Xenopus tropicalis: one gene and its partners. The protein of the gene in region 1 interacts with the protein of each later gene in a biochemical or structural test. Links are inferred from orthologs where the notes say so. Each region holds a gene or a part of one and is shown in the gene's direction. Other genes may lie near its edges. The genes, in order: dyrk1a, lin52 and dcaf7.

Region 1 (10,912 bases):
AAAAATGGTTGGACTGTGCTCAGCATAATATTCCACAGGCTGGGGTGCAGGTTATGTACTAAATCAGTGGGGGCAGCTATGTGTCGTGTTTTTATGCCGTTTTATAAATATTCCCCCCAGGGTGTAGGCTTTCATTATGGTATTTCACATTATTGTGTAAGTAACCATCTTTCTTTTTATTCATTTCCCCCCTAGTGCATTTGAAGCGGCATTTTATGTTCAGAAACCACCTTTGTTTAGTGTTCGAAATGCTCTCGTACAACCTCTACGACTTACTGCGCAACACCAATTTCCGCGGCGTTTCGCTCAACCTGACACGAAAGTTTGCACAGCAGATGTGCACTGCACTACTCTTCCTGGCGACTCCAGAACTTAGTATCATTCACTGTGACCTGAAGCCTGAGAATATCTTGCTTTGTAACCCAAAACGAAGCGCCATTAAGATTGTGGACTTTGGAAGCTCGTGCCAGCTAGGGCAGAGGGTAAGGATTGGCTCTTGTTCCCACGAAACCGAGGCCACGGAAGCCAATCGGCTTATACCTTGTTTCTTGTCCCTAGATATACCAGTATATTCAGAGTCGCTTCTACCGGTCTCCTGAGGTTTTACTAGGAATGCCTTATGACCTTGCAATTGACATGTGGTCCCTTGGCTGCATTTTGGTAGAAATGCACACTGGGGAGCCCCTCTTCAGTGGAGCCAATGAGGTAAGGCAGTAGCAACACTTTTATTTTCCTTTTGTAATGCGCCATGGATTTAAATTGGTAGATCACTTTTATGCTGTCATGCTCACTTATGGAATGGGGTGTCTGAGACAAGGGCTGCCACCTCACTGGCCCCTCACCCAGTTGCAAAGTCTGCATGCCTATACCCACCCACTGCGTGCACCCCCCACCCCTGTGTGCTGTGTCACGTTCCATTTACTTTTGCCCACGATCCAGGGTTGGGGTGGAGCGCCCAGAGTCCGGCATTGAGCTGGCCCCAGGGCCAAACGATTGAATTAGCCTAAATTCCCCCGATATCGCCCACCCATAGGTGGTGTGCTACATATTACTTACTTCCCTGAGGTGGCCTAGGGAATGCCCCCCACCTTGCCACTCTGAATTTAGTTTTTTTGCGCTGGAGGGGGCCGCGTTGCTAGTGCAGACAGCACAATAGCACTCTCTGCACCAGAAGAGCTGAAATTTCAATTCAGGAAATCCGAATTTTGGCTCTAGAGCGGCTGATTTAGTACCAACCAGCAGGGGAAAAACTCAGTGGCTCAGCAGTGATTATTACATTCTCACGCTAGCTGCACTGGTTTCTGAGCTGCCATGTAGTAATTATCTGTATTAATTACTAATCAGCCTTATATTGTGACATTTATACTTGGTATATACAGTATATAGTGAGTGGGCCCCTAAGCTCAGGTTATACTGTGATATTTATATTCTATATATACAGTATATAGTGAGTGGGCCCCTAAGCTCAGGTTATACTGTGACATTTATATTCTATATATACAGTATATAGTGAGTGGGTCCCTAAGCTCAGGTTATACTGTGACATTTATATTGTATATATACAGTATATAGTGAGTGGGCCCCTAAGCTCAGGTTATACTGTGACATTTATATTGTATATATACAGTATATAGTGAGTGGGCCCCTAAGCTCAGGTTATACTGTGACATTTATAGTGTATATATACAGTATATAGTGAGTGGGCCCCTAAGCTCAGGTTATACTGTGACATTTATATTCTATATATACAGTATATAGTGAGTGGGCCCCTAAGCTCAGGTTATACTGTGACATTTATAGTGTATATATACAGTATATAGTGAGTGGGCCCCTAAGCTCAGGTTATACTGTGACATTTATATTCTATATATACAGTATATAGTGAGTGGGCCCCTAAGCTCAGGTAAGTGCCAGCAGCACAGAGTATGGGCAGGGAATCGGCAGAAAAGGAGATGGGGGGCTACTGGGGCAATCTTAAGGAGCAAAGATCTTCCCTGCTAAAGGGCTGTGGGGGCCTGGGGCTGGTACACAACCCCCCAAACATAATGTACAATATTTCCTTCTTTATTTAAGCTTTAGTTTTCCTTTAAAAGCCAAATGAGTTTAGATGCTTACAGTATGCTTAGAATAGTCCCCACTAAATCTGGGCCTTTATGGCCACCTATAAGGCTACTGCCTCCCAAGTTTAGTCCTCCCCACAGTTTGCAATTCTGTGCCCTATTCGGGTCTTCCCACAGACAGTCACATATATGGGATACCCAATATAAATAACTTGATGATGGCATATTTGTTTTATGGTGCCCCATAATTGTAATGGGTCACTTCATCATGTGTGGGTTCTGCCTCGACTGACTTTGCTTTTGTCGCTTGGTAGGTTGATCAAATGAGTAAAATTGTGGAAGTTTTAGGAATACCACCTGCTCACATCCTTGACCAAGCACCAAAAGCTAGAAAGTTCTTTGAGAAGATGCCAGAAGGCACTTGGAACTTAAAGAAGACCAAAGATGGAAAAAAGGTAATTTGCTAAATTCTATGGAATGGAAAAGGAATCAACGGCTTTGCATGTTTCTAATGAGGTTTAAGCCCAAAAGGCACATTTGGTTATACAGTGCAGTCCCTGCTCTTTCTGTATAGTCAATATACATGTATAAAACTGTCACTAGATACACTGGGTTGTATTATATGTATACAGCTTAGCACTCAGTTCCCATCAGTCCCTGCCCCAGTGGAACTTACAAGCTAAGGTCCCTATCACATTCCCATCAGTCCCTGCCCCAGTGAGCTTACAATCTAAGGTTCCTATCACATTCCCATCAGTCCCTGCCCCAGTGAGCTTACAATCTAAGGCCCCTATCACATTCCCATCAGTCCCTGCCCCAGTGAGCTTACAATCTAAGGCCCCTATCACATTCCCATCAGTCCCTGCCCCAGTGAGCTTACAATCTAAGGCCCCTATCACATTCCCATCAGTCCCTGCCCCAGTGAGCTTACAATCTAAGGTCCCTATCACATTCCTATCAGTCCCTGCCCCAGTGGAGCTTACAATCTAAGGTCCCTATCACATTCCCATCAGTCCCTGCCCCAGTGGAGCTTACAATCTAAGGTCCCTATCACATTCCTATCAGTCCCTGCCCCAGTGGAGCTTACAATCTAAGGTCCCTATCACATTCCCATCAGTCCCTGCCCCAGTGGAGCTTACAATCTAAGGTCCCTATCACATTCCCATCAGTCCCTGCCCCAGTGGAGCTTACAATCTAAGGTCCCTATCACATTCCCATCTGTCCCTGCCCCAGAGGAGCTTACAGTCTAAGGTCCCTATCACATTGCACCACCATTTTTAAACCAACCCATAGTTATTTGCTTGTTTATTTTGTTTATAGACAAATACTGTTGTGCCTGTATATCCAGTGCCAGCAAGTTGTTAACGGGAGTCTGTGTTATTACTCTAGGAGTACAAACCACCGGGAACCCGAAAACTTCACAACCTACTTGGAGTAGAAACTGGAGGACCAGGTGGCCGCCGAGGCGGGGAATCAGGTCATACTGTAGCGGACTACTTGAAGTTTAAAGACCTCATTTTAAGGATGTTGGATTATGATGCCAAGACCCGTATCCAACCCTATTATGCTCTGCAACATAGTTTCTTTAAGAAAACTGCTGACGAAGGTACAAACACGAGTAACAGTGTATCAACGAGTCCAGCAATGGAGCAGTCCCAGTCATCAGGAACCACCTCTAGCACATCTTCTAGCTCGGGTATGAGGATTTGTTCTCTAGCACCCAAATGTAGCACCCACACCTCAGGAAACTCCTTACTGTGCATTCTTAAGGTTACTAACGCTCATTTAGTATGGTTTAATTTGTGTTGCTAAATGCTGTTATTTCCTTCCACAAAGTCTCTATAAATCTAAAGGCTTTGTCTTGTATTTATATAGAACTAATGTTTTACAGTGAGGTTTCATGATTCACATGAGATCCGGACTGGCAATCTGTGGGTTCAGGCAAATGCCAGAGGGGCTGCTGTAAGGTGCCACAGACAGTCACTATTTATTGGGCTGGGGGGGCTGTTTGTGCCTCTGGGTACTGGGAATGCCAGGGGGGCTGTAAGGTGCCACAGACAGTCACTATTTATTGGGCTGGGGGGGCTGTTTGTGCCTCTGGGTACTGGGAATGCCAGAGGGGCTGCTGTAAGGTGTCACAGACAGTCACTATTTATTGGGCTGGGGGGGCTGTTTGTGCCTCTGGGTACTGGGAATGCCAGGGGGGCTGTAAGGTGTCACAGACAGTCACTATTTATTGGGCTGGGGGGGCTGTTTGTGCCTCTGGGTACTGGGAATGCCAGGGGGCTGTAAGGTGCCACAGACAGTCACTATTTATTGGGCTGGGGGGGCTGTTTGTGCCTCTGGGTACTGGGAATGCCAGGGGGGCTGTAAGGTGCCACAGACAGTCACTATTTATTGGGCTGGGGGGCTGTTTGTGCCTCTGGGTACTGGGAATGCCAGGGGGGCTGTAAGGTGCCACAGACAGTCACTATTTATTGGGCTGGGGGGCTGTTTGTGCCTCTGGGTACTGGGAATGCCAGGGGGGCTGTAAGGTGCCACAGACAGTCACTATTTATTGGGCTGGGGGGCTGTTTGGGCCTCTGTGTACTTGAAATGCCAGGGCCTATTAACCTGCCCTTATGCCTTCATAGCCGCCCTTCAGGACAAGTAGTAAATGCAGGCGTAAGTACACTCATCATTCATGGGTTGATTGACGGCCACCGTGCACAAGTTTTAGCTTGCATTTGACACAGGCCTTAAAGGGATTGTTCGACTTTATATTTACTATTACATAGACATTGATATTCTGAGAGAATTTGCAATTGGTTTTTAAAAATTTTTTTTTTTGTGGTTTTTCAGTTATTTAGCAGCTGTCTGGTTGCTAGGGTCTTCTTTACCTTGGCAACCAGGCCATGGTTTGAATGAGAGACTGGAATATGAATAGGAGAGGGCCAGAATATAAAGATAAGGAATAAAAAGTAACAATAATGATAAAATTGTAAGTGCACAGAGAATTAGTTTTTAGCTGCAGGGGTCTGTGAACCCCCCTCCCCCATTTGAAAGCTTAAAAGTTGCAGAAGAGGAAGGCAAATAATAATAAAAAAATAATAATAATAAAGACTAATTGCAAAGTTGCTAGGAGTAGGGAATTTTATGAAATACAAAAAGTGTGTATAGCTTAGACAGATGGCAACTATTGTTGCAGGTTGCATTAGTACAGATAGGTGACTTTATAATAACCCAGTGATGATTTGCTTTCTACGTTTTTGACGTCTTGATTTATATTTCTATCACACATATATTTATGTATCAGGTGGCTCGTCTGGTACAAGCAACAGTGGAAGAGCAAGGTCTGACCCTACTCATCAACATCGACACAGTGGTGGCCATTTCACAGCTGCTGTTCAGGCTATGGATTGTGAGACGCACAGTCCTCAGGTACCCTCAGAATGCCTGTTTTATTGCACTTTATTTTATTGTCAGAATATCAGGAAAACTGACAGTCACTCTAATTCAGTTTCGGTCCTGACACCGACATGGTTGGGTGCTGCATATAGTTGTATTAGATATCTCTCACATCGACGTTTCGGTCCTGGTCTGGGACCTTAATCAAGATGTTACACTTATATGTGTATTTTATTGTGTGTAACATCTTGATTAAGGTCCCACACCAGGACCGAAACGTCGATGTGATGTATAAACATGTGTTTTTAATACACGATTGATCTTTTTGGAATATAACTCTGTAGTGCTGGGCGGTATACCGGTATATACCGAACACCATTTTTTTAAAAAAAAAAATGATAAAAATTTTTAACTTACCGGCATACCGGTGTGGGCGCCTCCTGGCAATTTTTCTTACTATTTCCGGGTTGTGCGCGCTGACGTCACGCGCGCAACCCGGAAATAGTAAGAAAAATTGTCAGGAGGCTCTGTGAGCTGTCGGGGGTGCCTGCGGCTGCCTGGTCAGTAAGTTATATTTATGTGAAGGGGATGGGGGGGTGTTTGGGGTTTGGGGGGGGGGTGTTTGGGGTTGGGGGGGGTGTTTGGGGTTGGGGGGGTTGTTTGGGGTTGGGGGGGTGTTTGGGGTTGGGGGGGGGTGTTTGGGGTTGGGGGGGGTGTTTGGGGTGGTCACCTAATCATGCATGGGGAAAAAAAAATACCGTCAAATACCGTGATACCGATATAATAAAAAAAATACCGTGATATAAATTTTTGGTCATACCGCCCAGCACTATAACTCTGTGTTGCTGGTCTTTTTTGGATATATATATAGATATATATCCACTGTATACAGAAAGCACTCACGGCCTTAATGTCCAAAAAAATGAAGAAATTTTATTTCAACATGCTATCTACATATTTCAATCCACAGAGGATCATCATCAGGATGACGATCTTCTGTGGATTGAAACGCGTAGATAGCATGTTGAAATAAAATTTCAATTTTTTGGACATTAAGGCCGTGAGTGCTTTCTGTATACAGTGGATGCATCTCTTGGGTTAGCACCCGGCTATTGCCTTTGGACTGGTGAGTGCCAATACTTGCAGTGCTATATAAATATATATATATATAATTTTTTTTCCATAAGTTTTTCTTTATTGAGTTTTAAGTTTACACAACACATAACAAGAAGAACGCAAGAGAGAGTTTAAAGTGAGAATTAAAAGAGAAGAAGAAAGAGATACGAATAACCAGGGCTTTCCTACACTACACCCAGTTACTGATACTTCTCACATCTCTGCCAGCCATTTGTCACAAATTTTCCTGATTTTCCTGGCCAGTCTGAGGCTATGTTTGTAAGCTTCTGGCTGGAGAGACATTTACAAGCTGCTTGTAGGACTGTGTTGGGGTCTCCGCTGCTTCCCAGCTCATCAGAATGGCTTTTTTAGCATAGTGCAGAAGCTGTAGGAGGCAAAGTCTGTCACTGGAATTCAGCGTTATCCTCTCTGTATGGCCCAGTAAGCAGAGTGTGGGGGTCTGTATGTTCAATAGGCCTAGAGAAGAGTCCATAGTCCCAAGTATCTCAGTCCAAAAAGCATTATATTTTGGGACAGTCCCAGAATACATACATCACCGGCTAGAATGTAAATCGCTGGTGGGATGGCATACGCGTTGCTGCAATGTCCAGCAGTCGGCCGAAGTTTCCTCTCAAGGCAACTATGGGCGACTGCGAGACATCGTAGCAACGAGTATGCCACCCCACGGGCGATTTACATTCTAGCCGGTGAGATGGCATGGCAGGGAGATTAGTTGCCCACGACAACAAAGATTTGTCATGGGGCAACTAATCTCCCCGTGTACCCCTGCCCTTAAGCTTTATATATATTTCCAATATATTTTATTGTAAATTAGAAAGCACAGAGGGCATTTACAAACCGGATTGACATCTAGGTACTAAGTCTAGTGACGGGCGAAATTCGTCAGGCATGGATTTGCAGTGAATTTCCATGTTTCGCCATTGGAGGATTATTTTGCAAAACAGGCGACAAAATTCACTGCGTAAAAATTCTGTGCTCTACAAAAAATTTTCGACCACGTTGCAAAAAATTTCCGCACGTGGAAAAAAATGACACTAGTAATGTCCTCTCCATTAACGACAGAATGATTGTGCCCCAGCCTTTGGCACTTTAGTGTTGGTCATAACCAGAGCATTATGCTGGGCTACAGGGTCAATTACATGGGAAGCTCACTAGCCATAGTTGTTTTCATGTATTTAAAACTTCAGATTTAGTAGATATTGACTGTCCCTGCAGAGGGATAATGGGCCAGTCCACTGGTAAGTGTGTGATTGCTGTTTATCAAATCCTTGCTCAGGGCCACTAACAATGGGTGCTTTTTGGGGTGGTTGCATGGCAGCCCTGGGGGTTTTGTGTCTTTATATTCGGTGCTTTAGTCACCATTCCAGTTACTGCATGACCTGTTCTGGCACTGACCCGAAGAAGCTCAGGTACCTGTGTAAGTGCAGATGTAGAACCATGGTTTCCTAAACAGTCTTTATCTTCAACAAGAGCCCAAAAAGAAGGGTTATTGCAGGACTTGTTTTCTTCTCCCTCTAGTTTTATATAATAATATTTATGTTATTTGTAGCACTAAACAGTACAGAACAGAGACACTGAAAGCACTTTCATTTGACATTGATCCCATTTGGCCTTCCCAGCCAATCACCCTTTATTATGAACTTCCTCTCTGTAGACCCAGGAGACAGCCAACCACTGGGGGAAATCTTAAGGTTTTATATTATACAGATCATTATTTCCAAGGCTTAGGTAGTGTTTAAAAATAAAACCAAGAAAAAAAAACAATGACTTTATTTCCTGTGCTGTGTAGGGAGCTGTATATGTGCATTTATCTGTGTTTTAACCTTTTTTTCCCTTCCTTAGGTTCGACAACAGTTTCCTCCTGGTTGGACCGTCCCTGAAGCCCCTACGCAGGTCACCATTGAAACACACCCTGTCCAAGAAACAACATTTCATGTCCCCCCTTCCCAGCAAAATGTACCGCATCACCATGGGAATGGCTCCCACCACCATCACCACCACCATCATCACCACCACGGACAGCATGTCTTGAGTAACAGGACGAGGACCAGGATCTACAATTCTCCATCAACTAGCTCCTCCACCCAGGATTCTATGGATGTCGGTCACAGCCACCACTCCATGACATCCTTGTCTTCCTCAACTACTTCTTCCTCAACATCTTCCTCTTCTACTGGCAACCAAGGCAATCAGGCCTACCAGAATCGTCCTGTGGCTGCTAACACCTTGGACTTTGGACAGAATGGAACTATGGATGTTAATTTAACTGCCTTTTCAAACCCTCGCCAAGAGACTGGCATCACTGGACATCCAGATTACCAATATTCTGCAAATACAGGCCCCGGCCACTACGTAACGGAAGGACACTTAACGATGAGGCAAGGGATGGACCGAGAAGACTCTCCCATGACAGGAGTTTGTGTTCAGCAGAGTCCTGTGGCAAGCTCGTGACTAAATTCAATCTAGGTTTGTTTGGTTTTTTTTTTTTTTGTGTGTGGGTTTGTTTTCTCTCTTTTTTTTTATTTTTTTTTATTTTTCCTTTTGTTTTATTTGTTTTTAGAAGTTTTTTTTTTTCCAAGAAAAAAAAACTAAAAAAAAAAAAAAAACAAAAGCAAAAACAAAAAAAAAAGTGCAAAAGCTGCTTTAATCAGAAGGAGATAAACACACTTAAACCGCTACAACAGGGAAAAGCTGACTATTTTTTTAAACTTGAAAAAAAAAAACAAAAACAAAACGATTGCAAAGGGACAATGAAGTGAAACGATTTTTATTTTTTTAACGAGCTGTTTCCAAACACACCTTATTGGATAGCTCCGAGGTAATTTCCTCTCCCTTTTGCTTCCCAACCCCCGCCCCACCCTTCCCCACCCATTAAACTCTGTACACTCGTATCATAATAATTTTATAAAATGATATATATATGTATTTGTATATACATATATATTTATATATTTTAACCATAGTAAGTTATACTGAACATAGTCAGTTGCCAACATGATAAAAAGCAACATTATCAAAAACAAACAAAAAAATGCACCTCTTTGGGTCCCCTCGGGGGGGCTTAATGGTCCATCGAAACTTGGGCACAGATATGCAGTACTGTAAGAGAGAGGAACCTTCGACCTCCTAAACACACAAACCATAGTCAAAGGGACGGGTGTCACACACAGTCAACTTGCTAAGATGGCGGTCAACGTGCTAAGATGGCGGTCAACGTGCTAAGATGGCAGTCAACGTGCTAAGATGGCGGTCATCAGAATCTCCTGTCCTGAATCTGGGAAACAAAGCAGCCGTTAAAAATGGATCTTATCGTTTTATTTTTGTTTGTTTTTTTGTGGGAGACAGCTCGATCTTAAGGTGCACTGAGAAGCAATCAACAGGCCAGACATGGCCGCTCCTTGGGGAGGTCTGAGTCGGCGGTCTTTGGGATAACCTTTGGCCTTATGGATTTGGACTCTTGAGTTCGAAGAGCCTGCCATTTCAGATGCAATCACTTTGGGACGCGCTTTTCGTAGACGGTCCTTCATACTGAAAATCCAGAATGGGGTTCATTCAAGAGGCCTTTCTTTTCACATAGACTGGTGTGACCCACTAATTGTAGAGTTTTTGCCCGGTCACTTTGCGTGTGTGTCATAAAGCTGACTTCCTTATTGGCTAAAGGTCACAGTAGTAGTGGTTTGCGTTGGATGGAAATAGCTACACCTGTGTCCCATCCTTTATTTTTTTATTTCAGCCCCCTTCATTTCTTTCATTTGCTTTTCTCTCCCCCCCCCCCCATATCTTTTATTTTTATTTTCAGCTCCCCCCCCCCTCCGTTTCTCCGCACGTGGTATCTCCACTATTCTGCACAAACATGTCTTCTGTTCCTTTTGAACATTTTTAAAAGAAAAAAGATGCAGAATTTTATGTGACTGCTTATTTTTTTGCCTCACAATTATGCTGTGAATTTTACAAAAAAAAAATTATTTTCCTTTTTTTTTTTTTTTTTGATAATTTATTGTACCAAAGCTGTTTTTATAGCACATAGATGTCTGTAACCAATAATGTAGCAGTTCTGCACTTTTTGGCACAAGGTGTAATGGGACAGTTTTTTTGTTTGTTTTGTTTTTGTTTTTTACAAAAATTCTGGCTGTACTATTGCTTCAACAAAACTGGAACTGTCGCTGTGCTCTAGTTCAACATATACCGAAATGTCCGTGCCGGATCTATTACGCTGTCATGTTACAGAGTGGCTCGTAGATATGTGTTCCGGTTTCCACCACCGAAACCCTAAAGCTCTCAGCCAGCCCCGCCCCTTGCCCCGCCCCTTGTTCCGACACACACAGGTC
Region 2 (10,912 bases), on another chromosome or scaffold:
TGTAATAAGGCTTCCTATTGACATCAGGTGGAAAGTGTACAAGCCTTCGGCTTCGTCTAGTTTGTAGGAAGGTGTACTTGCACAATTTGGGATGTTGCCAATGTACAGACATTAACCTAAATACTACTACTCATAGACGAATGTAGCATAGTGCACATGCGTAAAGCTGTTAGATCCTAGTGTGGATATAGCTCAGTGATCAAGCTACTAAAGGCAATTAAAGAAAAGAGTGCTTTATTTTAGCTAAACATTATCATAATCACAAACCTAATGTCCCAAAATTATATACGAGATATTCACGCTCATGAAAAAAGTATTATACAGTCTAGCCTAATCCTAATGACCCAAAGTATACTACGTAAACCCAAACTCTTCCTATCAACATACATGTAAAAAATTTGTGTAAAAGCTTTGTGAGTTGAACCCAGAACCCTAACACAGAAGGGCAAGAATTCCGACCACTTTACCACAATGCTACTTGGTTACTCTAGTGTGTGAAAATGTATTCTTGTGAATACACCTTGCCAACAAGAAAAGTTAAAATCTAGCTTGTTTTGTATGAATAGCCTAGATCCTTTTGGTGTAATGTCCTTTTGGTGTAATGCCCAAACAGCCCCCACCTGGCTAATAAATGTCTGGCATCTAACAGCAGCCCATCTGGCATTCCCCTGGATCCACAGATAGCCAGTCTATACCTACAGGTGGGAGTGACTTGAAAATGGTAACAGAAAAAAAGATACAGTAAGAGCAGAAGAAGTAAAACCTTGCAGAAATAAACTCTCCTGCATACAGGTTTAGGAAGAGTGAGGTACTTTATAACAGAACCCTACCAAAATAAGATTTTTTTTATCTTTTAAAAGAATAGCAAGAGTATATGTCCTCTTTATTTTACTTCGTTTGAGCAAAGGTCTATACTGTTTTTGTTACCTCAAATCTATGTGCTGAGATCTTTGTGGGGTATGAGTGAGAGTTTACTTGCAATAGTTAATGGATAACGCTCAATTTAACTTGTTTTTTTCCCTTTGAACGCATTCACAGCTATAGTTTACAAGGGGAATTATACCAGTTTTAACCTGTTGTGTGGCTTTTACGTATTTTTTTTCTCAAATTATACTCTGCAAGTAGTAAGCATGGTTTGCAAGCATGATACCTTCTTAAAACACAATGCTAGCAAAATTCACTGGGGTTGCCAAGTTGTCAGCCACCCCCCATGATTGTAATCATCAACAAGAGAAGTTGTTCACATTGTGCACAGTACAAAACTCACTGAACAATTACTGGACTCTGCTTACCCAGGGCAATAGAGGAGCTTTGGAAAGAGCAGGGAAAAATGGTTATGGCACACTCTGCAGAAAAAATGCAAGCTTTGGGTCTCTGCTCTGTAAATATAATCATGGGGGGATGACTAACAAATTGGAGCCTGCCAATGATTTTAGCTTTTATCATCCTTTAATGAGTGAAATTCATAGAGATTTTCATTTGTACTAATGGATTTGTTCATATGACCCAAACACTTTATTTACTTAGCTGTTAGTACATGCTTTTACATATCACACTGGATGGTTTGTAGCCTAGATCCAACTTTTAAATGGAAAAGAGCTCTGTTTAAAGATGCACTTAATCACAGGCAAGTCTAAAGACTGGAATTCTCCACATTCTGAATTACATCAAATTGACTTTGGTTGCAGCTAAAAGAGTTATATTTAAATAGTGGATTGAGTCCTCCCCTCCCTCATTCACTGACATTTAAGCAGAACTAAATCTTTGTAAAAATGAAACTATTCATTTCAGATTCGATAGCTTGAAAACACCATTTAAAATTTACATCAAAATGGAAAATATTTGCAAAGCTTGGAAAATAAGGAAAGAGATAAGATACATGACATCCTTTATCATTAAAATGGATTCCTACTATACGTAATCCTAGCCATGAAAATAATACTTGGCACAAATTTTTTCTTGAACTCTAGTAACTTTAATATATTAAATATTATTACAATTAGTTTTATGTAAGATTGTAATTGTTTACTTTTCAATGCTTACCTTTTATGATCTCTCTATTTTGAATGAGATTCCACGTTCACCTGTATGTTTTCTTGAATACTAATACAATGATTAAAACAAAAAAATGAACTTTACACTTTTTTCAACACAAGCAAGATAAATAGAATGTATGTATAATATAGTATACTTATGTATTATTATTTAGTTTTTACTTTATCTACCTATTTTAACCGCTATCAACTGAGTTTAAATAGGGCCAATAAGCTTTGTATAAACAAACACCATACTATTTATTGATCTGATTTTGAGCTAGAGGTGACACTGCCCCTTTAAAACCAGTGGGAAGTAAGTAGCTAAGGTCACAAAGTCACAAGATTTCACTTAGTTGACTATTCAAAAATAGTTTTGGCATTTAAAGGAACAGTAACACCAAAAAATGAAAGTGTTTTAAAGTAATTGAAATATAACATACTGTGGCCCTGCACTGGTAAAACTGGGGTGTTTGCTTCAGGAACACTACTATAGTTTATATAAATAAGCTGCTGTGTAGCCATGGGGGCAGCCATTGAAGCTGGAAAAAAGGAGAAAAGGCACAGGGTACATAGCAGATAACAGATAAGACACCATTGTATTCTACAGGGTTTATCTGTTAGCTGCTATATAACCTGTGCCTTTTCTTCTTTTGAATGGCTGCCCCCATGGCTACACACCAGGGTTTATATAAACTCTAGTAGTGTTTCTGAAGCAAACACAAAACTTTTACCAGTCCAGTACATTATAGTTTAATTTCTTTAAAATATATATATTTTTTGGTGTTACTGTTCCTTTAAGCTGTTAATCAGCAAACGTTTTCAAAATGTTTATTCACTTGTTTATGAGTGTACCTAACTACTGAAATTGAATGTTGTGCGGTTTAGATGCAGATCTGGAGACCTCACTACTGAGCTTTGAGAAACTGGATCGAGCATCACCAGACTTGTGGCCTGAGCAGCGTAAGTGATCTCTACTTTGTTCCTTCTACCTTATATAAATCAATTTCAATTTACAAAAAGATTTTCTGAGCAGGTACTCTTATGCCCAGCTATGCTTCCATCATATGGACTGTGAGAAGGGCATTAAGTGCTATTGTACCTATTTGCATGTCTTGAAAAACTCCAAGACTCATGACTCATGCACTGGCAACTAGTACAGTTTCCTAACCTATGAGAAACTCTTGTATCTCACAATTGCAGTTTCATTCTTGATGAATATACTGCACTTGCAGAATTTATTACTGTGTGGATTGTAGCACTGGGATTGAAATACCAAATTATTTCAGTTTCAAAAATAAAATCAATATTCTCACTCACTTTATGTTAGAGGCTGCAGTTCCTAGTGACAGGTAGATTCCATTTAACCAAATGACGGGCTGCACAGGCACATCAACAGCTGGTAAATATGGGGGGAAGAATACACCCTATGTGTAATAGACAGGATAATAGACAATAATAGGCTGAACTTTCATCTTTGCCAGCTATGTAACTTGTTCTCCTCGTTTCTTACAGTCCCAGGAGTTGCAGAGTTTGCTGCTTCTTTTAAAAGTGTATGTATAACTTAATTCCTCTATTAGCTTATATACAGTATGGCTTTGTTTTACAATGTATCTTGAAATATGTGAAATATTGTTGGTGTTACTACTTTTTATTATATAATTTTTCATTGCATCTGCCCTCTGTTTTTTTTCTGCTTTTCCAAAGAAGCCAATGTTAGTTTTTTTAAAGAAGCCCTTTTAGTTAACTTAATATTGACTTTTACTTTCTGTGCATGATTTTTGTACAAAACGTAGCACTAAGATAGAGAAATAAAGAGAATTGTTTTAAAATGCAAAATTAATTTAGGGACTGGTCCATTGAGTCAAACAGGAGGCAGCAAGCATCAACCAAATAACTTTAGTAAGAATGTTAAAATAATGGGCAGAGGCATGCATAAAGATGGCAAAAACCCTAATACAAAACTTCGCCACCTAAAAGCAGTCGGGGCAGAAGTCAGTGGGAGCTCTCCTAGGCAAACTGTAACAATCTTTATTTAATTCATGTTTTTAATAGTTTTGCTGTTTTTTCTGTTTCCGAGGATTCTAGTATTCTTATTCAAATTTTTTTGTGGTTTTTCATTTGTGTTTTTTATATTAGGCTTTTTTATAAAGGACTTGGCATTAGTGGTTTTAGTGAAAATGAGGTGTTTTTTTTTGTGGTTTCAAAAATCCTTTGAGTGTTTTTTTCAAATAATGGGCTATTTTGTTATTTATTTTCTATAAAGAGCAATTGACTCCATGGCATTTTTCAGTAGGTAGCATGATTTCCAGCATGAAACGTGCGCTAAAACACAAGGAGAACAGGGTGTACCAGGGGCAAAAAGTAAATGTGTGGTTGGAGAGTACAATAAATTAAAAAAAAAATAAAAATAATGCATGTGATACTATTGCTGATAAAAACAACTTAACAGACAAGTTTTGGAAAACTTCAGGTATGCCTAGGGAAGAAACACCTGAATCCAGGGTCGGACTACATGTGCCTTCACCCGAGCGTATGCCCGTGTGACATTAGCCTTAGGCTTCTGTTTGAAACCATTTAACAGTTCCTCTGGTCTGCTAATGTGTTTCTTATTTTTCTTTAATTAATCATAAACTCCTGTGTAGTGAACACCAAGTAAGTTATTTAGTTTTATAGAAACATTACTAAGACATAGTGTGGTAGGTATTTTGTTAAATGTGATATAAAAAACAATATAACATATGTTCAGTAGTGCTAATATACTCACAGCCTAAAAGCCATCAAAATAGAGCAATGTTAGGGGGCCATTTACTAATGGTTTGATTTTTTTTTTCCCAACTGTTTTTAGTGCTAAAAGTCGCAGAAAAAAAGCCGTGACTGTTTTTGAGATTTACTATGCGACAAAACGGTTACAAATCCAACAATGGCAGATATCTCCTCCCTTCCCTGGAAACTCCTTTATTTTGCATTTTTGCCGCTGTTTTTTTGCGTGACAATCTGAAAAAGTCAAAATGTTTTGGTGCAACAATTTGAAAAAGTCGCAGTTTCTCAACTTTTCTGCAACTTTCCCACCCGTATTTCTTCTGTTCAGACTCTTTGGTAAATGTCAGACGTTCGTGGAAATTAGTTTATTCGAATTTCTAAAAAGTAAATAATGTAAGTTAAGTTTAGTTAATTTGCCTAAAGTGAAGTATTAGTAACTGCATACTGTAAGAGTAAAAGAAGGTGTATGTAAAGCATCAATTGCATAGAAAATAAGATTTTGGAGGATTTTTCCAACATAATATCTAAAGTTTCTATCATCCCATTGTTGTTTATTAGCCAATCAAAAGCACACCTCGTAAATGGATGGCAGAACTTGAGAATGATGACATAGATATGCTGAAAGGTAAGGATGGAAAACTGCACCTTTTTTCCCTTTACAGTAATATTTCTCAAGTGCTCTATATGTTCAAAGATCCATAACAAATCGGTTATGCTTGGACAGGGTTGAAGGGGGGCTGAAATGGAAATTAAACCTACTCTGTGTAGTTCCTGCAAGGTAGATAATTAGATTAACACAGCACAGATAATCCCCTTGCATAATAGACTTGTGTTTATCTGTGTACTGGTAATTTAGTTATCTACCTTACAAGGACTAAACATGGAGAAGATTCAATTTCCCTTTTAGCTCAAGAAATAACAAAAAATATACTTTTTGTTTAATTAAACAAAAAACTATGTTCAACATAAGCCAGATTCGTTGCTATCATGTTGAAAAGGGTGCATGCTGCTCTTTTTAAAAGAGCTGAAATTTTGTTCCAGGGCAGTTTTTTGTCTCCCCTGATAGTGTTACCTGATGGAAGTTTTATATCTTGCTTCATGGCAGAAGTGTACCTGGTGTATAGGGCTTTTGACTTAAATAAGGGACTAAAATTTATGGAGATGCTTAGTTAAAAATGTATTGCAGTTAAGTTATTTACAGGCCATTAGTCTCTGTAACCTATTCTGACAACTTTTAGATAAGGGCCAAGTTTGATTCATCGGTCTGTAACAGAACCACAACAATGTTAATTTGCTGTAGACCAGACATTAACATTTAGGATTTGGTATTTTACATCCTGAAGCTTCTCTAACATATAGTAGTTATGACGACTGACAAATAATATTTGTAATGTTTCAGTGTATTTTGGCTTTATCCCTACCTCTTCCCAAACTGGCCAGTACAAGCTTTGATTGATTAATATAATTCTTTAGCTGTCTTCTAGGCAGGTGACCCATTAATTTACTAACTGTGTATATGTGTAGATATGTACGATCTTCATTGCTTTCTTTGGTTGTACTCCCTCATACTGCAGTTTCCCTTATCTGCTTTGTTTTCCTGTATGTCTGCACTTTTGCTTCCTTTATTTTTGGTTGACTAGCGATCTGCATTATATACATTTCCCTGATCATTGATATTGTTGTTATCCATATTGTTACATTGCACAAGCTGTGTTTATTTCTGTTCTATCACCTTTTACTATTTTGAAACTTTTTCCTTTATGTTCTTTCTACCAGTACCAGCACAGTTCATGTACATTGGTTACCGATACTTTTTTTGGCGCCCTTTTTGTTGTGGTGGGGTATTTATGGGGGGTGAGGTTTGCACTGTCTTTTGGTTTGTCCCTGAGGAAGAGCACAGTTGGTGCTCGAAACGTTGGATCGTTTTCATTAAAAAAAATTTTGTTTTCTAACAAAGTCCCTGCGTGTGCGGCTCATTGTCTTGCTATATACATGGTTTTGGCAAGCACCTGGGGCATTTGATTACTATTAGGGTGTGCTCTGTTCTTTTCTGTGTATATATATATATATATATATATATATATAGCCGCACACACACACATATCTGCTACTTTTTGCTATTGTGTAAATCCTGTGAGTGCCGTCACTTGTTGCATTTGTATTTTATTGATTTGCACTGGCACCCGGGTCGCAACCCCTATTGTATGGTGTGCTGCCTATATCTGGACTTATAATATAGATATCAGTTAGTTTGATAGAAAACTGCGCAATGTAATTTTCCTGCTGGTACTCTCCTTAAAGGAGAAAGAAAGGCAAAGTCACTTGCCAAAATGTTAGGCACCCCCAAGTGACTTAAATCGCCTACCTTTTAGGCGCCCCTGTTTGGAGAGAACAGCACCAGCCCGGGTAGCTGCGATCGCTTCCTCCTTCCTGGTTCCGTGCGTGCGCATGCGCAGTAGAGTGAAAAGCCGAACTTTAACAGAAAAGTCGGCTTTTCACTCTACTGCGCATTTGCCCACTGCTTCCATTTTAGGAAAAGGAACCAGGAAGGAGGAAGCGCTCCGCTACAGGTACCCCGGGCAGGTGCTGTTTTCTCCGAACAGGGGCACCAGCCCGGGGTACAAGGTAAGCGGTTAAAGTCACTTGAGGGTGCCTAATATTTTGGCACCCCTAAGTGACTTTTCCTTCTCCTTTAAAGGATAAGGTGGTCTTGAATCGGCGTTTCACCTGTAAGCTACCTTTTAGTATGTGTACAGAATGTCCGATTCCTAGCAACTTTGCAATTGGTCTTTATAAATATATAGTTTATGAAATATATGCCTTCCTCTTTTGCCTCTTTTTAGTTTTCAAATGGGGGCTCTCTGACACTGGCAGCCAAAAATTATTGCTCTTTGAGGTTACAGTTTTATTGATTATCTCATATTTGGACCCTTATGTATTCATATTCCAGTCTCTCCTTCAAATAACTGTTTGGTTTCTAAGGCAAATAAGACCCTAGCAACCAGCTGCCAATATGCCAAACTGAAGAGCTGCTGAACAAAAATCTAAATAACTGTAAAATCACTAAAAATAAAAGATGAAGACCAGTTGCAAATTGTCTCAAATATCAAGGTCTACATCATACTAAAAGTTAGTGTAACCCCTATTTGCTGTGAACAGGCCAAAGCACGGCTAGTATAGGTTTAGAGCATGGGGTACATGCGTCTCAATCCTTCAGGATGGGCCTTCGCTAAATGGAAATGACCAGTGGAGCTAGGGTGTAGTGCAGGGGTGGGCAAACTTTTTGGCTCACGGGCCACATTTACTTACCCCCGGGCCAGACCGGGCCAGGGAAGGCAGGGCCAGGCCAGCGTTACGCCCCCTTAGTCTGTTTAATTCCGGCCCGCCAATGACACCAAGTCTCGCGTGATGAGACTTGGCATCGTCGGTGGGCCGGATTAAAAAGGCCAAGGGGCCGGACGTGGCCCGTGGGCCGTAGTTTACCCACCCCTGGTGTAGTGCAACTACAACTCACTATAGCTGTGTGCAGTGCAAATTAGCAAAGATGGACGCCAGAAGATTCTTGCAGTTGAAACAATAGAACTTGTTTTTTTGTCAGAGACAATCAATGCGCAGGGTTAAGCAATATACTCTCCTACAGATGTTATATGATAGTAGTACTCTAAGGACAGCAAAGAGAGGATGTACACCGGTTTATCCCACCTCCTTTAGAGTCTGGGCTGGGTAAATGCACCTGGTCAGCTTGAGTCCTACAGCCGACTGTGGATCAGGGTTTAGATACTGCCTGTCTCCTATGTCTTAATCGTGGCCCTATGCTGAGGCAACATTGCCAGTATGGAAGGGTACTTCCAGCTACTTTCCTTGGTGGAGCCGAAACGGCTCTTGCTTCCTTCCCTCTATATCTCACTTTCCTAGAGAGTGCTCGACGAGAGTAACTATCTAACTGGTCCTCATTCATGTGGTCCCTGTCCCCGACTTCACTAGAGTAGGTGATGACTCTAGGGTAAAGTATGGCTTTACAGGGACCTTGTTGATCCCAGGCTCAGTGGACCTTCACCTGAGACACAAAGGCAGCCAAAGAGGAAGACCCACCCCTTTGCTACACACCATATTGGAGTGCAAAGGGTGGAGTCAACCTGTACACCAATAAGGCACAAGTGCAAAGGATAAACTAAATACATAGGTTTTTGCCCAGTAACAGCATAAACTAAGGAAGTTTTAGGGTTTAAAGCCATAGGGGCATATTAACCTTATGGGTCCAAAAGTGGACTGCCCCATTAAATTCTTTATATGTAGACAATAGTATTCTAAGCAGGGCCATATTTACCACTGGGAAGCCCACCTTTATGGTAAATTGAAAAGAATCACCTAAAATGTTCCCCCAGCTCACTGCCAGATACTTGCTGATAAATCCAGTGCTTGATGGGTGGATGTGTTTCTCCTGCGATTGGCACGTACTCCCATGACACATCCACCAATCTTAGGAGAAGGGAGCAGGCTAAGGGCCGGTGCCTAGGGCAGCCCTGTTTTTTAAGAGATACTATAATTGAGCTTCATTTTTAATTTTTTTTAGCGTTTTATATTTTGTGTTCTGTAGCTGCAAGTGGAAATTTCAACTGCTGATTTCTAGCAACCCTAGTGGTTGAAAGGCAGACTAGAATATGAATAGGTGGGACCTCTAACGAAAATTAAGAAATACAAATGAATAATAATACATTTGTAGACTGCAGAGAATCAGTTTCTCCAAATGCACGGCCAAGCCGATTCCAAATCCTTTTAAATCACATGTTTACGAAATTTGCAGGGGGTTTTTGTTTTCATGCACAGATTTTTGCCCCCTGGATTAAACCTATTTGCATATGCATATTAGGATTCGGTTCAGTATTCGTTAAATTCCTTCACAAGGATGGTTTTTTTTTTTTTTGACTGTTTGACTGCATTTTATTGTTATTTGTATTTTTCTTCTTATTTTTATTTTCACGCCCTCTGCTTTTCATTTTCCTTTTTCATTTCAAAACTGCTATAATAACTGTTGTAACAATCCCCTTGCAACTAGATAGTTTAAATTCCATGACTGAGAGCTGTTTAGCAAAAATTAAATAATTAAAATACACAAAAAACAAACACCATTTGCAAACAGTTTAGAATTCATTACACCGTACCTAAAGTTAGTTGAAGGTAAAAGCTCCCCTTCATTTACTGTATTAATTGACTTGTTTTTCTTGGAGTGTTTTTGTGTAGGCCACGCTGCTGGTCCTCACCATTTTGCATTGATAAATGCGTTCATTAATGCTGCATGTCTTTAGATTTTTCAGTTATAAGTTGTTGTTTGTCCCCAATATATGTTTGTTTTTGTTCAGAGCTGGGAAGCCTTACCACAGCCAACTTGATGGAGAAGGTGCGGGGCTTGCAGAACCTTGCCTATCAGTTGGGACTGGATGAATGTGAGTATCCAAAATATCTGTGTTACGGTAAACTTTTATAATGCCAACAAGCAACTATATAGATAGTAGCACATTATGTAATTTGCAAGGTATTTGTAGTATCCAGAGCCAGGTTTTACCCATAAATGATTTTAAATTGTTCTTGGAGTCCGGCAGCCAAATAAAAAGACAAAGTTTTAGTGTACATTAATATCAACTACTGTCATTAACTAATTAAGGGGATTATGTAATATAAAGTTCAAAGTTTTCTACACTTCCTACTACCTTTAGCAGCCAATCAGCATGTAGCATTTCCTGGTTACCTGTTTAAAAGTAAATATCTCAGTGGTTGCTGTAGGTTTTTAGCAAAAATAGGGAAAGTTGTGCTCAACCACTAAATTTTAAACCATTAGGCAGGGGTGCAATGAGGTTGTGACCACAAAATACATATAAACAACAACAACAAGAGATCCTCTGCACTCGCCCATTATCAATATATATATAGAACATTAATACATTCTGTGCATTAAGCTACTAAGAAATGCCCTCCCCTTTAAAGGACAAGGAAAGGCAAAGTCACTTGGGGGTGCCAAAATGTTAGGCACCCCCAAGTGACTTTAATCGCTTACCTTGTGCCCCTGTTAGGAGAAAACAGCACCAGCCCAGGGTACCTGGAGTGATGCGCTTCCTCCT
Region 3 (9,695 bases), on another chromosome or scaffold:
GGAGACCCGTCTGGAGTGTTTGCTAAACAACAACAAGAACTCTGATTTCTGTGCCCCCCTCACCTCATTTGATTGGAATGAAGTAGACCCCAACCTGCTGGGTAAGGAACAAGCAAGGCCTGCTTTTTCACAGTTCTCTGTTCCTTGTAGATCCAAGGTTATTTAATGCATTTTCATAAAACATCACCCAAACTAACACTGAGAGCAAGCCTCTGAGCTTATAAACCAACTTGATACAGTAACTCTATAACTTCTTTAAGCTGACCTTACTTAATATGCCCACCTCCAGGTGGGCGATTTCAGACTGATCCTAGGGCCAAACGATCAGATCATAAAAATGGGGATACAGGCCATTGGGATGGGATTTTTAAACCCCAGATTTCATCCAGATATTGGTTTGGTAGGCCCATTGGAGGGCCCTAAAATAAACAGGTGATAAGCTGCTGACTTGGGCTGAATGAGCAGCTAAAATCTGTCCTCTGGTCCATATGGTTATCTTTAGTTTTCATTTGCCTTTCGAGCAAACACATTTATGTACATGCATTGTACTCTCTTTTAGGTGGATATATAAACCAATTCAGTGCAGTTACTCTATACCTCTTACTTTTTAGAACACTCTCTTTAGTCTTCACCTAACCCCTAATACACGCTTCAATTGCCTCCCTAGCAAGCCGATATTAACTACATGCAGTGTTCAAGTGGACATATAAACCAGCTTGATAACAATATACTGTCCCTGTCTGGAACAAATCAGACCATCATATATCGGCCATTTCCCTCTTGTGCTAGGACTTTCTATTGTTTGTATTGTGGGTATAGGAATGTTCATTGGACTGCAGAATAACATTATTTTCTTTAACCTTCAGGAACCTCAAGTATTGATACAACATGCACAATCTGGGGTTTGGAGACTGGACAGGTCCTTGGCAGGGTTAATCTGGTGTCTGGACATGTGAAAACGCAGCTCATTGCCCATGACAAAGAGGTGAGAAGCCTTTGGTTTATCGGTAGGAAATGTGATATGGGAAGGTATGTACAGACTATCCCATGAGTGAGTTCCAGTCACACTTCTCTGAGGCTCTCTATAGTTTGCTGGGTTGCTTTGTGCTGCATGCCCATATTGTGGCTGCGGGGGGATTGCAGTTGTGGGTAAAGAGACACCTGACTTAACGGGTCTGGGTTGCTAGAGCCTTTAGATTTGTTCAGAGAGTAGTAATCGGTTTGAAGACCTTGTACAGGTCTAGGCCCAACCCATTGCTCTTGGGGTATCTGTAAGGGCAAGCACAGAGACGTGTTATTCAGGCCTTTACCGTGCTCCCTATTCCCAAGGGGGGTTGTTGGATGGTTAGTGCCTTTCTCTCAGCGGGAGGTGGTGGCACCTCCTTCTCCTTCATCTGCCTCTGCCGGAGAATTTAAAAAAAATGTGTGGTGTCGCCATCTTGTATAGCAGGAGAAAAGTCCAGATATATGGAGATTGTGATGCCATTGTATAGAATCGGGCCTTTGAGCCTTGCTACGCTCAGAGCTGCGACCCGTTCCCTAAAGTTGAGCAGTTTGAGTCGGAATGGTGGTCTTGGTGGTGCTCCCGGTGGGGGTGGCCTGGGAGGAACTTGATGGGCTCTTTTCACCACGAATAGTGAGGAGAATGTATCTGCTTCCACTACATCCTATAGCCATTTGCAAATAAATGCCTCTGGCTGCTGTCCCTCCACCCTTTCGGGAGCCCCACTATTCTGATCTTGCTCATCCTAAGTCTATTCTCCAGGTCTTTGTTTTGTCCATTAGTGCTTAGATTTGCTGTTACTGATGGCATGGTGTTGTGTATGGGGTTAATTGTATCCTCGGGAGACCTGAGTTTCCACAGCAGCAGTGCGGCCTCTCATGTATTAGAGGTCCGGGCGCAGGAGGGACAAGTTGATCTTAATCCCTTCTATTTGTGAGGTAGTGGCTGCTCTAGTTTCTTTTATAGCTTCCAATAAGTCCCCCATTGTGGGCTCGCTAGGCTCTTGGTTGGGAGGGGGGCCTGGTGGTTCTGGCGTTAATGTCTGGCAGAAGCTTTTGTCCAGCGGGAACCTGGCTGGGTGAGTGAGGGCGTAGCCTCTGATCTCATACATGGAAAATGTTTGCCCATGTTGGCTTTTAGTACTGCATTCCAGTGGTTGCTGGCAAACTGTGAGTGAGTAGTAAATGGAGTGTGGAGTGAAGAGAACTGCCAAAGAGATCAATCGATACACAGAGCTCTCACTTTATGCATCTGGTTTGGTCGCCATCTTGGACACACCCAAGTGGTGTCATTTTTACAGCACCAATTGGAGATGGGAATAAATTACATTAGAGCATTATTCAGGCAGCAAAAGATGGGGCATTAATAAATTAAACTAGGAAAGGTTCAGAGGAAGTCCTAAATGTCTTGTCATTGTTTTCCAGTGTACACGGTGATGGGTCCTGCAGGTTGTGCAGTTATAGTTACACAGGGTTGAAAAAATCCAAAGTCCGTCAAGTTCAACCCTTCCAACTGAACCCAGTGCAGTATGAATGAGTTAGGTTTTTTTAACCCATATGAATATAAAAGTATTTTCTTTCCCCTCCCCTGTGTGTGACAGGTCTATGACATTGCATTCAGCCGTGCAGGAGGGGGCAGAGACATGTTTGCCTCTGTGGGGGCAGATGGCTCTGTGCGAATGTTTGACTTGCGCCACCTGGAGCACAGTACAATCATCTATGAAGACCCCCAACATCATCCATTACTTCGACTGTGTTGGAACAAGCAGGATCCGAACTATCTGGCAACCATGGCCATGGATGGAATGGAGGTAATATTAATGATTCTGTTAAACACAGATTGGCACAGAGAGCTGCTGCATCGTTATATTTGACCAGCAGCCTGGTGATACGTACAGTCAATCTGGTGTGTGCCATTGTATTACATAAAGGTGTAAAGGAGCAGTACAGGGTGGGGTATGCCCAGAGGGCATTTTCTGTTCTTACAAATGCATATCATATTTTTATTCTTTTTTTTTTTTTTTTTTAGGTGGTAATCTTGGATGTACGAGTACCCTGTACCCCAGTAGCCAGACTTAACAACCACCGTGCTTGTGTCAATGGCATTGCATGGGCACCCCATTCATCTTGCCACATCTGTACTGCAGGTGAGCATCTTGCTTAGGCTTTACTGCATATATTACCCAAGTGTTGGTAGGGGTATATAATGTTGCCCTATAGCACTTTGCAGTGCACACACAGGCCTGGAATTGTGCAAAACCAGGACCCTAGAGGGCAAAGCTTAAGGAGAGACAATATATGGCCACTAATTGTTATTACTGCCAGTCTCTGGCTTAGTGGCTTAGTGTGGCACAAATTATAAATCCAGCCCTGAATTTAAAAGTGCCCTGGCCACCAATATATTGTCCCAGGTGTCCCCAATGTGAGTTTGATTATTGTTATTTTATGTGCCAGTAATAGTTATAAATTAGCTGTAGAGTTAAAGTGACTGGTGTCCTGTTACTTATGTGATATCCAGTCATGTGACAGACCCCAGTGGCACCCTAACTAACACTAATGGGCCTTGTTCCCTTTGCAGCGGATGATCACCAGGCCCTAATCTGGGATATTCAGCAGATGCCAAGAGCGATTGAGGATCCCATATTGGCATACACAGCAGAGGGAGAAATCAACAATGTGCAGTGGGCAAGCACCCAGCCTGACTGGATTGCCATTTGTTACAACAACTGCCTGGAGATCCTGCGAGTGTAACTGTATTTATTCCCTACCCTTCTAGCCCACTCTTCCTACCCCTTTCCTACAGGATCTTCTGCTCCTCAAGGCCTCCGGTTTTTATACATCTGAACTTATTGGCTCACCTTCCTGTCTGTGATGTAAGCCAGAAGATCCTCATTATCCTCCAGTACCTTATTGGCTGTAACTACTAAACATTATTGTCCATCCAGATAAACAGAGTCCTCTGCCTGTTTTTACAGTATGTGATTCAACTCTTTTACATGAAGGAATTAGTGCTGCTTAGTAAATCGGGCCCTGGTTTATAATTGACAACCCAAGAAAAGGGGTTCCCTTCCTTAGTCAGTTCCCTGTACTTTGCCCCGAGTGTATTTCAGTTGTTGGGGGATGGGAGGGGGGCCGGGTTGTGGGTGGGATGGTAACTATTGTACTGTAATATTACCTGTGTATACTATCCTCATATATGTGTGTATTTGTAGTGCTGACATGCTGTTTCTATATATTGTCTGATATTAAAGGAGTATCAGGTTCCCTACATTTGATTGGCAGCAATGATTTAACATATTTCCTTTTAGCTGTAGAAATATTAACCCTTATTGTGCACGGCTGGCCATGTTTTTCAGTGCCCTTTGTGCAGTTGTTGGCTTTTTATTTTTACTCCTCTTAATTCACAGACTAGATTTGAAATCTGTACTCCTCCTTGGGCTTGTGAGGCTTCCAGTTTATGGTTAGCTTGATTAGTACTTAGACTGATTAATCACAATTGGCTAACTCATAGGCATTTAGGGTCTGCAGGTATGAGTTTACTAGAGTGCTCTTTTTATGTTCCAAAGCACCAATGTTGAACGCAGTTAAAATAGGGCCAGAACCGTTTAACTTTACATTTCCAGTGATATATCAGTAGTGACTTTGGCATTGCTTACATACATACATACATACATACATACATACATACATACATACATACAACAAGTTCAACTCTGTGTCCCGGTAAAAGCTGCATGATTTAGAGAAAGGTGAAAAAACATCCAAAGCCATCTCTTATTTAATAGATTTCTGACGGACTCCAAGGGGCAATCAGACCAGTCCCTGGATTAACTTTGTACGAAGTTCATTTCAGTGTCTCTGTGTTTTACCCATTGTTAAAAGGCCACCCATCCCTATCAGATGTATCCTTAAGGAGAGGATTCCACAACTTCACATCTTTCACTGTAGCAAACCCTTTTTGGAGTTTTAGGATGGAACCTCCTTTTTCTTAAACATAGTGGATCCCTTGTGCCTTCTGAAAGGACCTTACTCTACTTCAATTATGTTGGTTTAGGAGTCATAAAGCCCAAACCCACTGGAGCAAAGTGATTTTGTAGTGATATTTGCTATCCAATAGATATGTAGTACAGTGAAGCTACTCCCATGGTACAATTTCCTCATTTAATATTAATGCCCCAGGTTGTCACTAGGTGGCACCGTGGGACAGTTTTGACCCTGTGCTGTTGTGCATTTTGCTAGACAGATGCCTGGGACTAGTTGTGCTTTCTCTGCATGCAGGCCTGGACTGGGATTCAGAATAGGCCCTGGAATTTCAAGTACACAGAGACCCAAACAGCCCCACCAGCCCAATAAATAGTGACCGTCTATGGCATCTTACAGCAGCCCCTCTGGCATTTGCCAGAACCCACATATTGCTTCTATATGAACATCTAAGGCTTAAAGCAATATAAATGTTTATGCAAGTTTCTTCGGATCTGGAGCAGGCTGGAAAATGAATTTAATGGTATCATTTTATGGGGCCATTATATGTATGTATGTATGTAAATGGTAGTGTGTTGGGGGGATCCTTAATGGAGAAGAATCTGCGGGTTTTGTAGATAACAAGTTGTCTAATTCCAGGCAGTGTCATTCTGTGGCTACTAAAGCAAATAAAGTGCTGTCTTGTATAAAAAAGGGCATTGACTCAAGAGATAAAAACATAATTTTGCCCCTTTATAGGTCCCTGGTAAGGCCTCACCTTGAGTATGCAGTGCAGTTTTGGGCTCCAGTCCTTAAGAAGGATATTAATGAGCTGGAGAGAGTGCAGAGACTGCAACTAAACTGGTTAAGGGGATGGAAGATTTAAGCTATGAGGTGAGACTGTCGAGGTTGGGGTTGTTTTCTCTGAAAAAAAAAAAAAAAAAAAAAAGGCTCTTGCGAGGGGACATGATTATTGTGATACTAATATCTACAGCTAGTATTGATATTGGTATATATAGTTTGTGTATGTGAGTGTATAGATAGGTCAGTATAGGTTGTGTGTGCTGGGTTTACTTGGTAGAGTTGAGATTGATGGACTGTGGTCTTTTTTTCAACCCTATGTAACTATATACACTGTACTGGTCCAAACAATGTGTGAGGAATAGGGCCGCCATCAGGGAGCAGTAGAGGGGCCCAAAAAGACATGATCTGTTGGGTGTGCAAGGGGCAGAGTTTGGATGGAGTATTGGTATAATATGATGTAGTGGAGCAAATCAGGGGGGTGACTGTTGGGGGGGGGGGGGGCACCCTTTCTACCAGCTCACTGGTGGGCTAATAATTGAGGCTGCCTTGGGGGACATGAGCGCTATATGGGACACCATGAATAGTGATGGCAGACCTGCAGAGGAATATAGCTTCATTGTACATGTAAGGACAGCTAGAATCATCTCTTGCTGAAAGACAGTGGGACCTTTTGCACGGCTGAAACAGCAGGATGCTAGGGCAAACAAAAGAACAGGCAGTTAGTTATATATTAAAGGAACAGTAACACTAAAAAATAAAAATGTTTTAAAATAATTAAAATATAATGTGCTGTTGCCCTGCACTGGTAAAAGTTGTGTTTTTGCTTCAGAAAGTCTACTGTAGTTAATAGAAATAGCTGTTGTGTAGCCCTGGGGGCAGCCATTTAAATTAAAAAAAGGAGAAAAGGCACAGGGTACATAAGAAGATAACAGATAAACTGTGTAGAATACAATGGGAATCTATGCTACTTATCTGTTATCTGCTTAGTAACCTGTGCCTTTTCTCCTTTTTTCAATTTAAATGGCTGCCCCCATGGCTACACAGCAGCTTATTATATAAACTGTAGTAGTGTTTATGAAGTAAACACACAACTTTTACCAGTGCAGGGCAATAGTACAAAATATATTAATTATTTGTATACACTTTCATTTTTTGGTGTTACTGTTCCTTTAAGCTCCTAATATTTCTATGAGACAAGTAGAAATGGTGAATAAAGGAGGAAAGTGGCTGCTGGCTTGCCCTGCTTGCATATCTGGAAGGTAGAAGAGGCACCTCCCCCTGCGCACACTTTGGCATATGGGTGGGGACATGTAGTTCAGCAGTAGCTAAAGCATCTCAAAATATGGATACTCTCTGACTTTTGATCCCAGCTGTGGGGCCCAGTGCTATTTTTATCTTTCTAACTATTGCGCCTTCCACGCAGGAGAAGAAATATGTGAGCTGAAATTCTCCTTTATAAAAATACAAGTTGTGCGGCAGCGGGGAACCTAAGGAGCATGAATTCATTATTCCATCCACCACTCCGCTTAAAGGACACGTAAAGCCGACATTTGCCTACAGTGTATCAGTTGGGCACGTCTCCCCCACCCAAATGGCATCATTTGTACTGCATATATCCCCTCCGTTTGCCAGCACCATCACATTTTCCAAAAGCAAATAGCAGCTTTCACCCAGTGGACATTTTTCCTCTGATACATAATCTGCAAACCGCATAAACACACACAGACCCTTATTCAGAATACATTTCATCAAGAATACAGGCTCCCACAGGCAGAACTGTCTGATAAAAGTTCTGCTTTGTTTGAGCTCAGCTCAGGAGAGAAAGTTAGGAGAAAAAAATTGAAGCAGACAGCTAGAGCTGAGTTTCTATGGGAACCAGCAGTGCCATCTCTTTACTGGCTGCTAGACTGGAGGGCGTGTTTAGTAATCTGAGTTTAGAACAGCTGAGCATGCCCACAAGCCAGAAGTCAAAGAGGGGGCTGAGTGGGTTACAGGAGAAGAAGGAAATCTAAATGGTTAAGAAGATGCTGCAGCCTTACTATTAACCTCTGCACAACCAGAGTGGCAGGTATTGAAAGATTTCAAAGAGGCTGTTCACTGATTACATTTTTGTGTGTGGCCTTTAAAGATTTTAATACAAGTACAATGTGCTTGATATAAAAGGTACTGAGGCTTTTGCTAATGGTTCTCAGCCAACCTGCGAGGACAAGGAGTTGGTGATGGTGCTTCCCATTTTGCTCTTCACTGTCTGTCTGTCTGTCTGTCTGTCTGTTTGTCTATCCTTTCCTTCCTCTCAGCTTGTTGGCAGTTCAGCCATGTCCTTTCTCAGTAACCCTGTTGCATGAGTCCAGAATATAACAGTAAAATCTGTTGCATTAGTCCAATATATAACAGTAAAGTCTGTTGCATTAGTCCAATATATAACAGTAAAGCCTGTTGCATGAGTCCAGAATATAATACTGGCAACAGGGTCAGGCTGGGGTGTGCAAGGCCCACTGGGGCTTCTACCTCTGGTGCCGCCGACCACTTACCCACTGCACCTTATTGGGGGAGGAGGGCAGGTGGGGATCAGGTCTGGGTTTTCAGGGCCCAGTCCAACCCTGACTGGCAATGTGGATGGGATTGTTTGCCATCTGCAATCCCCCACTAAACGCAGTGACTGCTCATTTGAGGAAATGATTAAGCGACTTAAAAATAATTTTGCACCCGCGGCATCTGGAACTGTTAAGTGGTATGTGAGAAGGTGGGGTGGACTATGATCAACATTTTTCTGTAATGGATCTAGCATTTAAAAATAAAACCACAAGAGGGCACCCTAATACCGTGGTGTGCCAAACGCTAATCTTAATCATCATTTATTTATATAGTGTTTTTACAGAGTAAATAAACTATTTCACTTATGAAATATATATCTACCTGTGAAGTTGTTTCTTACTGATATTAAATTCCTGAAGGGGCAGATACAGTGCTGTTTAGCTGTTTAGAGCTAGAAAAAAATAAAGAGAGTCCAGAGGAAACAGCAGGCTGGGTAGCTTAAAAGCAAGGGGAAACGGTGGAAGAGGAGAGGTCATACAAATGGAAAAACACCAGATAAATGGCCAGTAGAGTAATAAAATTGAAGGCAGAGATAATAAACCAATGGGGCTCATAATAGAATAAATAGAGCAGAAGACACATGAATAGATAGAGTGTGAGAGGAGAACACAATTGGATAAAGGACCAGAAGTAAAAACTTTTATAAAGAAACAGGAGCAAGACTCAAAGAAAGCATAAGGAAAGCAAGATAGCGGTTCTATTAAGATAGTCCTATCACATTTCTGCATACTGTTGAAAAAGACGATGGGAATAACACACAAACTTGCAGACAGTGCCCTGGCTGGAATCAAACCCCAACCCCACCATTGTGCCACCATGCTGTCCTGTACTGACAGCGTTGGACTGGGCCTCCTAGAGCCTACCTGAGAGCCCACTCTCTCAGTACCTGCAAAAGGTATTGACATTTTTGCGCTGGCCGACCAAGAAATCTCAGTGGGCCTTGCTCCAGGTGGGCCCCTGCTGCAGCTCCAGTCACCACTGTTTGTATTGGTCCTGTGGCCCCAGTGGCCCGATAATTCAATATAATGTACAGCTGGTTACACTTATTTTGCAAAGGAGTGAGCTGCGCACCGATTGGATGCCTTAGGGCAGTGGCACACGGAGATTAGTTGCCAGTGATAAATCTTCACTATTGCTGCAACTAATCTCCCAGATGTGCCATCCCACTGGAAAGAATGTAAATCGCCGGTGGGTTGGCATACTTGGCATATGCGTTGCTTTGGTTTTTTTCGACTAAAGCAATGTGTATACCATCCCACTGGAGATTTACTTTCTTGCCAGTGGGATGAAACGTCTGGGAGATTAGTTGCCTGCAATAGTGAAGATATACAGTG

What was found.
Region 2: of the proteins of dyrk1a (region 1) and lin52, one has a biochemical effect on the other in vitro, tested with the Homo sapiens proteins (3 studies listed by BioGRID). The link is inferred for Xenopus tropicalis from reciprocal best matches to the Homo sapiens genes DYRK1A and LIN52.
Region 3: the proteins of dyrk1a (region 1) and dcaf7 form a complex in vitro, tested with the Homo sapiens proteins (2 studies listed by BioGRID). The link is inferred for Xenopus tropicalis from reciprocal best matches to the Homo sapiens genes DYRK1A and DCAF7.

The regions. Positions count from the first base shown.
Region 1 is NC_030678.2:12,494,151-12,505,062, reverse strand, and holds part of dyrk1a (dual specificity tyrosine-phosphorylation-regulated kinase 1A), read left to right. Parts: intron 1-195; coding exon 196-482; intron 483-558; coding exon 559-705; intron 706-2,374; coding exon 2,375-2,515; intron 2,516-3,449; coding exon 3,450-3,756; intron 3,757-5,355; coding exon 5,356-5,480; intron 5,481-8,426; coding exon 8,427-9,035; 3' UTR 9,036-10,912. UniProt on the Homo sapiens protein: Dual-specificity kinase which possesses both serine/threonine and tyrosine kinase activities. Exhibits a substrate preference for proline at position P+1 and arginine at position P-3.
Region 2 is NC_030684.2:81,970,910-81,981,821, forward strand, and holds part of lin52 (protein lin-52 homolog), read left to right. Parts: intron 1-2,921; coding exon 2,922-2,996; intron 2,997-3,548; coding exon 3,549-3,586; intron 3,587-5,354; coding exon 5,355-5,421; intron 5,422-10,156; coding exon 10,157-10,240; intron 10,241-10,912.
Region 3 is NC_030686.2:16,427,770-16,437,464, reverse strand, and holds the end of dcaf7 (DDB1- and CUL4-associated factor 7), read left to right. Parts: coding exon 1-101; intron 102-866; coding exon 867-985; intron 986-2,603; coding exon 2,604-2,813; intron 2,814-3,031; coding exon 3,032-3,149; intron 3,150-3,580; coding exon 3,581-3,753; 3' UTR 3,754-4,270; downstream 4,271-9,695. UniProt on the Homo sapiens protein: Involved in craniofacial development. Acts upstream of the EDN1 pathway and is required for formation of the upper jaw equivalent, the palatoquadrate. The activity required for EDN1 pathway function differs between the first and second arches.